2 linked regions of the Solanum lycopersicum genome follow. The main gene of each other region encodes a partner of the protein of the gene in region 2 in a complex. Links are inferred from orthologs where the notes say so. Each region holds a gene or a part of one and is shown on either strand. Other genes may lie near its edges.

What was found.
Region 1: zinc finger CCCH domain-containing protein 16 (region 2) and nuclear pore complex protein NUP54 share a complex: the UniProt entries of both Arabidopsis thaliana proteins name them as parts of the nuclear pore complex. The link is inferred for Solanum lycopersicum from reciprocal best matches to the Arabidopsis thaliana genes AT1G75340 and AT1G24310.

The regions. Positions count from the first base shown.
Region 1 is NC_090811.1:44,743,170-44,747,734, forward strand, and holds the start of nuclear pore complex protein NUP54, read right to left. Parts: upstream 2,911-4,565; 5' UTR 2,660-2,910; coding exon 2,228-2,659; intron 1,422-2,227; coding exon 1,368-1,421; intron 1,083-1,367; coding exon 1,023-1,082; intron 915-1,022; coding exon 804-914; intron 1-803.
Region 2 is NC_090811.1:3,099,917-3,104,483, forward strand, and holds the start of zinc finger CCCH domain-containing protein 16, read right to left. Parts: upstream 2,876-4,567; 5' UTR 2,787-2,875; coding exon 2,743-2,786; intron 1,497-2,742; coding exon 1,292-1,496; intron 1-1,291. Other genes in the region: pyruvate dehydrogenase E1 component subunit alpha-3, chloroplastic, read left to right, coding at 4,132-4,395.

The sequences.
Region 1 (4,565 bases), about 42 Mb from region 2:
CAGAACACTCCTACAACAGATAGGTTGCTGAAATGGAGAATGCAAGTAGATCCTAAAGTGTTCTGTCTAAGCAGGAAGATGAAACAAGAGATCACTTATTTTTTGAGTGTGCATTTGCCAACTCCTAATGGAGGAGAGTACTCCAATGGACAACTATCAGTCAACCTCCAAGCACCACTTGGAATGCCACAGCAGATCATCCAGAAGATCAAAGGGAAAAGCCACCAAGCCCAGCTACTACAACTAGTATAAACAGAATTTATCCATGTCATCTAGAAGGACAGGAACAATAGAGTTTTTTAGAGGACGGAGACTAAAATAGAGGATATTGCTTGAAGAGTAGCTTGTGTTTGTTGTGTTAGAGCTACTGTCTGAGACAGGCTTTTATTTAATAGATAGATGTAGCTTTTAAGTCTCTAAGATTGTAAGCAGACTGCAGATATTGAGATAACCAGTTTATAAGTAGGACTGGTTTAGCTTTGTAATTATCTACTTTGGTGATAAATAAAATTCAAATTACCAAAAAAAAAATCCCACTAAGTTGGGTCTGGGAAGGGTAGAGTGTAACAGACCATATCACTCCTCTTCGGGGTAGAGAGGTTGTTTCCAAAAGACGCTCAAGCAAATCATAGCCAAAAAAAAAAAAAAAGCAAATCAAAGCGTGAATAATTTTTCTTAAGAAAAACATTTTCCAGATTTTGCAGTTCTAGAATACTGAAAACATTCACCTTAAGGAATACATATCCCTCCAAATCACTTTCTATCATACCAAAGACATTCCTAAGTGATTAATATCAAGGTACCTTGAGCCGTTGGGAAAGATCCTTGAAGCCGTGTACAAGTTGAGGCCACAGGCGCTCACGGTCAGTACTCTCCATGCCTTCAAGTTTGCCCATTGCCTCTGCCCACATTATCTGGCAATGCAAACTAATTCATTGCATTTACATAACTCTCAGCAAGAAACAAGCAATGAAACCAGAATGCCTACACTGAAATAAAAATTTTAAACATATCAAACTCACATCAGATACCCCTGCAGGTTTCGTCCTATATTGAGGTTCCGTCACACTGGACAAAAGATGCTGCAAAACAACCATAAGTGCAAATAAATGAGAAGGATGTAAGCGCCTCTATACACATCCAAAAGATGGAAACCCTCCAACCATAATCTATTAACAACTGACATATCATAACAAAAACAGAGTTCATAAATATCTTCACAATGCTAGTGAATGACTCGAATAAAATAGATAAGCAATTCAGTGACTGCTTCACAAGTGACAATATACGATTGTTTATCTTAGATTTTTCATTTGATTCACTCACCTCTTCAATATGACCTAGCCTAGTAGGAAAAGAGATCAAACCTTGAAAGCATATTTACGGTTACCAGGCTCCTCCTTGTACGCATCAACAATTGCCTGATACAGATGTGAAAACAGACAACTATAAGGAAACGAGTTCAAGTTGTAGTAGTCACCCCATAAATAAGGATTGATTGATCACCTGAATAAAATGGTAAGTAACCTGCTATCCAAAGGAAAGACATTCTAACTAAAGGAGGATTTGTTTTAAGAAGACCCGCACTACCAACCCTCGGATAGCCACAGTTAAGGACAGCTCCTTGGTGGTGGCTCCACTATTCTTTCAAAAAAACTACTCCCAGGTCTTCCTTATTATCAAGATTGAAATACTTTTTAAGACGATTTGAAGAAAAGGTCCAGAGTTGCCTATTTTTACGTCTAAAATCAGGAGTTTAAGAGTTCAGATAATATTTTAATTTCTAGTGTCTGGTAGAGATTAGAGAATTTTAATTGTTTCTGCAAACATTTAATGATTCTAGCATCCACCAATTTTTCTCAGTAATGTTATGAATAAGATAGAAAGAGTGTTTCTTGCTTATTTGAAGCCATATGAGGCTTTCTTCAATCAGCAGAGGAAGCCTGACGTGACTTGATTAATTACTAAAAGTGCTTTACACTGTTAGCAATTGTCCAATCCAGCTAAGCTCCCTTCATCAGATATTTGTGTTATTCATATACGTAAATTAAATTAGTCTATTATCTCCTTTCATATTTTTTTTTTCAAATGAAGCATCTTCCCAAAGAAAAAGATCCACCCTCACCCAGTCAGGTCCGGTAGCCATGGCTTGATGAAGTTGTTGTGCACATAAACAAATATACTTAGAATCGTGATGTGCACAAAGATTTGAGAGTAGAGAAATTACTTGGATATCCCTATCAGCGAGAGAAAAGGGGAGTGGAGCCACGGGAGCCATCTGAGTAGTCAACTGGGCATTTGCAAATGGAAAGGAAGTACCAAATGGACTGGATTGGGCCAGTGTTGCAGTATTCAAGGGTGTGGAAAAGCTGAAAGGGGACGAACTCTGAGGTGTTTGAAATAAGGAAGTTTGTTGCTGTTGATGTGGCTGTGATTGCTGTGAAAATGGTGTTGAAAATAGTGTCGATCCAAAACCAGTGCCAAATGATGAAGTTGACGGCGTGCCGAATGCTGGGGTTGATGAAGGTGTGCCGAATGCTGGGGTCGACGAAGGTGTGCCGAATGCTGGGGTTGACGCAGGTGTGCCGAATGCTGGGGTTGACGAAGGTGTGCCGAATGATGGAGTGCCGAAGGCGGAGGAGGGCTGAGCTCCGAACATTGTTGCAGTGGTGGAGATGGTGAGAAAGGACAAACCCTAGGTTGGCTTAGGAAGTAACTATGAATTTCAACGCATTTGCCGCCATTTTCTTTTGGAATCGGGATTCTTTGTTAGTCCTCAATAATTAATTAAGATTTAGGACTCATTTGGCGTGGGAATAAGTACAAAAATTGTGGGATAGAAAATAGTTGTGGTATAAAATTTAGATTTGTTTGATTGATATATTTAAGATAATTTAATTCACTATTTATAGCAAAGTGATGTCTTGCGTCCAAATGTTATATGTGTATTATATCACGTAGGATACACATATCTATTTATTTAATGTTATATAAGTGAAAGAGTCAACTTGTGCACAGTCAAATTAAGAATCGTATTTATATATTATGCCTTTAGAATCTACCTTGAAGAATCAAATTTCACTAAATTATACGGTATAAACTCAAATTTCATAATTCACTTAATTATATATTAACATTGTTGTTCATCTTGTATTCTAAACATACTTAGAACGAAACTTTGAACATCTTTGCTAGAAAATTAAAACTAGTAGCGAAACTAAAATCAGAAATAAATTATTTAAAAAAAATATACGAAATAATTTTTTTAAAGAAGAATTGTTGTTAATATGTGTCTAAAGAATCTTACTGATTCCAACAAACTTTGCAGAAACACGAAGTTACCAAATTTAATGAACCAGTGAAGAACAAAAGAATAGAAGAACTGAAATTAATTCACAAATCTAAAGTTTGTAAAACACATACCAGAATCTGGAAAAATTTTAATAGGAAAAAGATCAAGTCCACTGAATTCATAATGTCCCCTTAAGGAAATTATTCCCCTCTAGTATCCTAGGTTTGATTTGGAATATGACCTCCCAGGGTAAAATGATCTCAATCACCAAAGTATAGATACCAAAAACTCCGGTGTCATCGAACCACTCAACGGCAATAAAGTACACTTAGAATACTAGATTTAGTAGTTGAAGAAGAAGTCCATGAATTCTATATTAAAATGAGAGAAAATCCCTCAATTTATAGAAAACAAAGGGTAGTGCGAAAAGGTTCTTATTGTGCCTTACCGGAAAGGTCACAAACCTTTGGAAAAGTCACAATCTTTCAGAAAGGTCGTCACCTTTCATAAAAGTCACAACTTTTCATAAAAGTCGCAACATTTCATAAAAGTCGCAACTTTTCATAAAAGTCGCAACATTTCATAAAAGCCACAACTCTTCATAAAAGTCGCAACTCTTCATTTTCCATTCACACCTTTTCAAAATCCAACAATCCGCCGCATGAATGGGGAATGACTCGAAGACAAAGAAACGGACAAGTATGTGTACTTTACAAGCAAGAATTAATTGCATCTGGATAAGTAGGTTTCCCCTTGGACTTTCCGTAGTGAACATATGTCGGATATACTCGGTCAGATGCGATATCTTGAACCGTCGAACTTTGGTGTATACCTAGAAAATCATATGCCACACAATTAACCCTTTACCATTTATGGTTCTTACGGTTGTGTTCGTTTTAGCCATGAACACCTCCTGGTTTCATAAGTGTATAGAGAGATGGACTTTTGATAATCATCTTCTTTGAAGCGGCTTACACTTCACTACTCACATAGGTGATTTCTAACCGTGTTATCGCGTAGATACATTATTTGGTCAACTCTGCCAAACATAGCAAATCATTAAAACCATTAAGCTTTATTAACTCATTAACAAGCCTTAATATTGTATCCTTGTCCATGAGCATTGTCTTCATCATGAGAATGAATTGAGTTTATTGACAATGCCGAACCTTCATTCACAACTTTGTTTTCTCCTTGAATCTAGCTCTTGGGATCTCCAGTCTGCTAGATACAGTTACCGCCATGATGACTTGTCCTAAGTCGTAAATTCATT
Region 2 (4,567 bases):
AGGACCATACGTAAATATTGACTCACCAGTAAACTGCTGTTGGTGACAACAGTATGTACATTGGAAAATTTTAATAACCACAAATACAAAACAGTAAGTATTGGACTCCACAAACTTATTATAAAATATTTAACTCCATATGTTTCCCTTTATCAACCTTTCCTTAAGATTCATGTGACTTTTTAGTATGAAGAAAGCATCAGTGCCATTATTTTGTTCGCTGAAATTAAAAGATGGCCTTGTAAAGATGAAACTTCAGATAGCATATAAAATTTCGTAGCAGTCTTGCTATTGAAACTTCTTTTTCAATTAACGAGAAGGACTCGTATGTTGTCAACCAAAATCCTGTTCCTTCTCTATATGTAAACCCCACAACAGCTACATTCTTATTAACACATATTTAAGAAAATGTAAGGCCTGACATGACTGAATTTTCAATGGTTCATATAACTTTCAAGGCTTAAATAGCAGCAATGGCAGATTGGAACGGAAAGGAAATATGAATGGGAAGTTCACTTTGAAGTCTTGTTACAATGTTCTAACAGGACAAACCCTTGTAATTCTGAAGGTTCATAGGAAATAAGTTTGGAAATCAAAAGCCCCCACTTGGTTACGTGTTTTGTATGGTTGTTGAACAAAGAAGTTTGTGTTACCATTTCAAAAAAAGAAACGGAGGAAGAAGCTTGCCTTAGCGAAAACAACTTGCAAAGAAGTGGCTTTTATCTAAGTAATAGATGCTACATGAGTTGAGAGAATTCTGGAACAAATGAATCCTCTATTATTACACTGTTCAGTCTGATTTTAAGTTTGGCAGATGTTCTTCAGTATTTTGGGACTAGAGTGGGTGACGTCAAGATCTACAGGTGACGTTTCAATTTTTTGGAGTAGGATGGCTTCGTTGGGCTTTGAACATGAGACCTCATGGTTCTCAACCCACTTCATTGGGGACTAGGCCATACCCATGGGACATTTCTAAATTTCTTACTTCCAATTCTTTATCTTTATGACTCACCACCGTTTCTTCAACTCTTAAGATAATACCATTGAGCACTTACAACATGTTAACACTTGTTGAGACATGAAGATAAAGAATGATATGAATTCTAGTGTCTAGGATTAAAATATCTAGAGAGCCATTATCGCTTGGCATGTATTAGCAGGTAAAATTGAAAATATGGAGAGAGGACTCCTCAAAAATGGTACTGAGGAAGCATATTATTTATAATAAATATAATAAATGCTAAATAATCTGCAGCAAACAGCTATAATTAGAGAGTAACAGCTAAAGTACCTTGTATTGATTCTGTTTGAGCCCCAAATCACTAGAACCTCTTGGCTGGGAGTTGCTCTGAACACCAAAACCAAAAGGGTTGGACTTTGTCTGCTGCATATTTGTACTCTGAAAATTAGTGGATTGACTGCCAAATCCAAATGGATTTGGCTTCGGTTGTTGTTGGGCAGCATGAAGAAATTTACAACGTTCACCATATTGACAGCTGGATGAATAAGACAACAATCAGATCCTATTTTTCATACTCAAACAAAGGAACCTATTCATAACAAGGATTACTCAACTCTCATAAAGAACTACTAATTAAATTAAGAATTTTTATGTTTCAAGTTAAAGACATCATTTTTACTTTCTAAGACATCACAGCAAAAACACCACCTTTCTAAGTTCTAGATGGAATATCATACCAATTATTATTCGATCTTAGGTCAATATTATGTAATTTGAAAAGGAAACACAACCCCCTACCTCCCGCGAGTTCACTTCCCAACCTAGCTTTATATATCCAGATATATGAAAAAATAAAAAAGGTTCAACCGGGGATCTGTCCCCCCTTCATTTAACCTTTTGGTAGGTCCCTGTTATCCCACACTAATGTAAATAAGAGGCATGCTTAACATTCATTCTTGATGAGTTCCCAGAAAAAGGAAAGAGACATTCTTTTTGAAACAAAATAACAAGAAAAGTAAGAAAAACAAATTGAAACGGAGGGAGTAATATTTATTCCTTTGCTAGGACTTGAACATGAGACATCATAAGAAAAACAAATTGAAACGGAGGGAGTAATATTTATTCCTTTGCTAGGATTTGAACATGAGACATCATGATTCTCAACCCTCTTTATTATCCACCGGCCACACCCTTTGACCCTAAAGCTCATGACTTTACTTAGCTAAGATCTTTCAACCATTACCATAAAGATTGAATACAACAATCAAGCAACCAACTTCCCATCAATCCTAAACCACTAAGGCAATATGAATTTTCTAAATTCATCCCCCACCCCGGCCATACCAGATAACTCTATCCACCAGACCTGGACAAATTTTAAGAAATCACCAAGTGTTTCTACCTACATTGGGATTTAAACTAGCGACATCATGATTTACAACCCACTTCATTAACCATCTACAACACCCTTTGATGCTAAAGCTCATAACTTTACTTAGCTGGGATATTTCAACCATTATAATAAATATTAAGTACAACAATCAATCAACCAACTTCCCATCAATCCTAAACAACTTCACCCCCATCCCCACCCAATAAAATGCTCAAAGAAACTATTTTTACTCAACTCTACACCTTTATATCGATTAGCAAAAGAATAATACTAAATAAAAATTGAATCTTTGACATGAAAGTTTCAAGGGTTAATCAAGAATCCTATGAATATATGCATAATAAAGTATATAGATTGAAATTAAAACCAATTTTTTAGTTATTTTTACCTGCCACGCATAAAATTTCTGCAGGGTTCTTTCCTTGGAGGCATAGCGTTAAGTCCTTTTTTTGCTGCTTCTTTTTTTCTTGACTTGTAGCTTCAAAATCTTGGGTCTATTTATAAAAAAAAATACTTAAAAAAGAAGGAGGTGGGTGTGGGTGTGAGGGGGGGGGGTTGGGGGGTGAGACGGGGGCGAGTCTTTTTTTTTTAAAAAAAAAATAAAATTCTCGCCTCTTACTCTGTATTGAAGTCCGATTAAATCTCAATCTATGCAAAAAAAAGTTTCATATTAAAAATTAAAGTTTTTTACAAAACTCAAACTCAAAATTTGAAAAAAATTAAAAAATCTCGATGGTTTTTCTATTTTTAATTGTAATTTTTTAGAGGCTAATGAGTATTGTTTTTAGTTCCATGTAGAATGATATTCAATTTATAGTTACAACTAATATATGAGTTTCTTTTTTGTCTATTATATATATTATACCTAAATTACCCTCATATGCAGAAAACAATGCACACTTGACATAAGATAAAATAGTCAAATAATTGTAGTGATATATAATTTGTTAAAAATTGTAGAGATTTATAAACAGAGGGCTAAAATCTATGCATATCATCAATTAATTAAAGGTTAAAATTTGCTTAGATACATGAGAGACAGTACAAGAATAAAATTAAAGGTTAAATTTGCTTAGATAGATTAGAGATGTTACAAGAACAAAATTTAAAATTTGGTAATATTTTAAATATTATAGCTTATACTCAATTTAATTTGTTTTAAATGTTTTTATTTTGATTAGACGCTAAATTTTAGAAAAAAAATTAATAGCATCGATCAAGAGACAATTTCAGATCAAAGTATTTTATGAATTATAAACATCTCAAAAAGATAATAGAGACCTACAAAGATTTACTCAAATCAAACAAAAATTAACCCTCGAGTGCAAAAGCATAAGAGAAAATCTTTGTAAAATTAATCATTATGAATCTTACAATAAATTTAATTGACACGTTCAATGAGAATAAAAAGAGAATTCAATCAGTTAGTTATTAAATATGAATCGATAAAATGCAAATTATATAAAAACTGTCATTTTTTTATATTTAAAACCCTAATTAATCGAAAATCTCAATTTTAAAAACATTTTCTCCTAATGAATTTTACGTAATTATTCGTAAGTTTTAATAAATTAAATTTTAATATAAATATCAAACACGAAACGATATCGAGAGGGTGGCCCTTAATAGTTCCCCCTTTTGAGTTCTTTTGACGGTTAATCCAACAATTTGCTTACATTTCCCCATTCTTGTTTTCTCCGTTCACTGCTTCCTTTATATATCGAACTTTATCTTCTTTAACAATCCCATAAAATCCATCAAATTTTTCTCTGTAATCATGGCTGCATCAGCCTCTTCTTTTACTGCTAACAGTTTTTCGCAGCCCATCAACTCCACCAGATCCATTGACAACAACAACAAGAAGACCCTTTTGGGAAATCAGCTTAAAGATAGCTCCTTTTTTCTTGGATCAGCTAAGAAACTCTATATGAAGAAACCCTTTTCGTCTCAGAACTCGAAAAGCAGATCTATTGGTGTTTATGCTGTTTCTGAGGTTGCTAAGAACAAGAAGCTCAAAACAGACTCACCACTCTCCAATCTGGTACTTGCATTTTTTTACTTTCTTCTTAAAAAATGTTTATTTTTGATAATTGTGTTGTTCAGGCCAGCTTGTGTGCAGATGGGAAGAAATCACAATTGATGTTTGTTTTGGTCTTTTGCAATTGGGTTATGCTTGTTTAAATCATTGGTGTTTTGAACTGGATTTCTGTTGA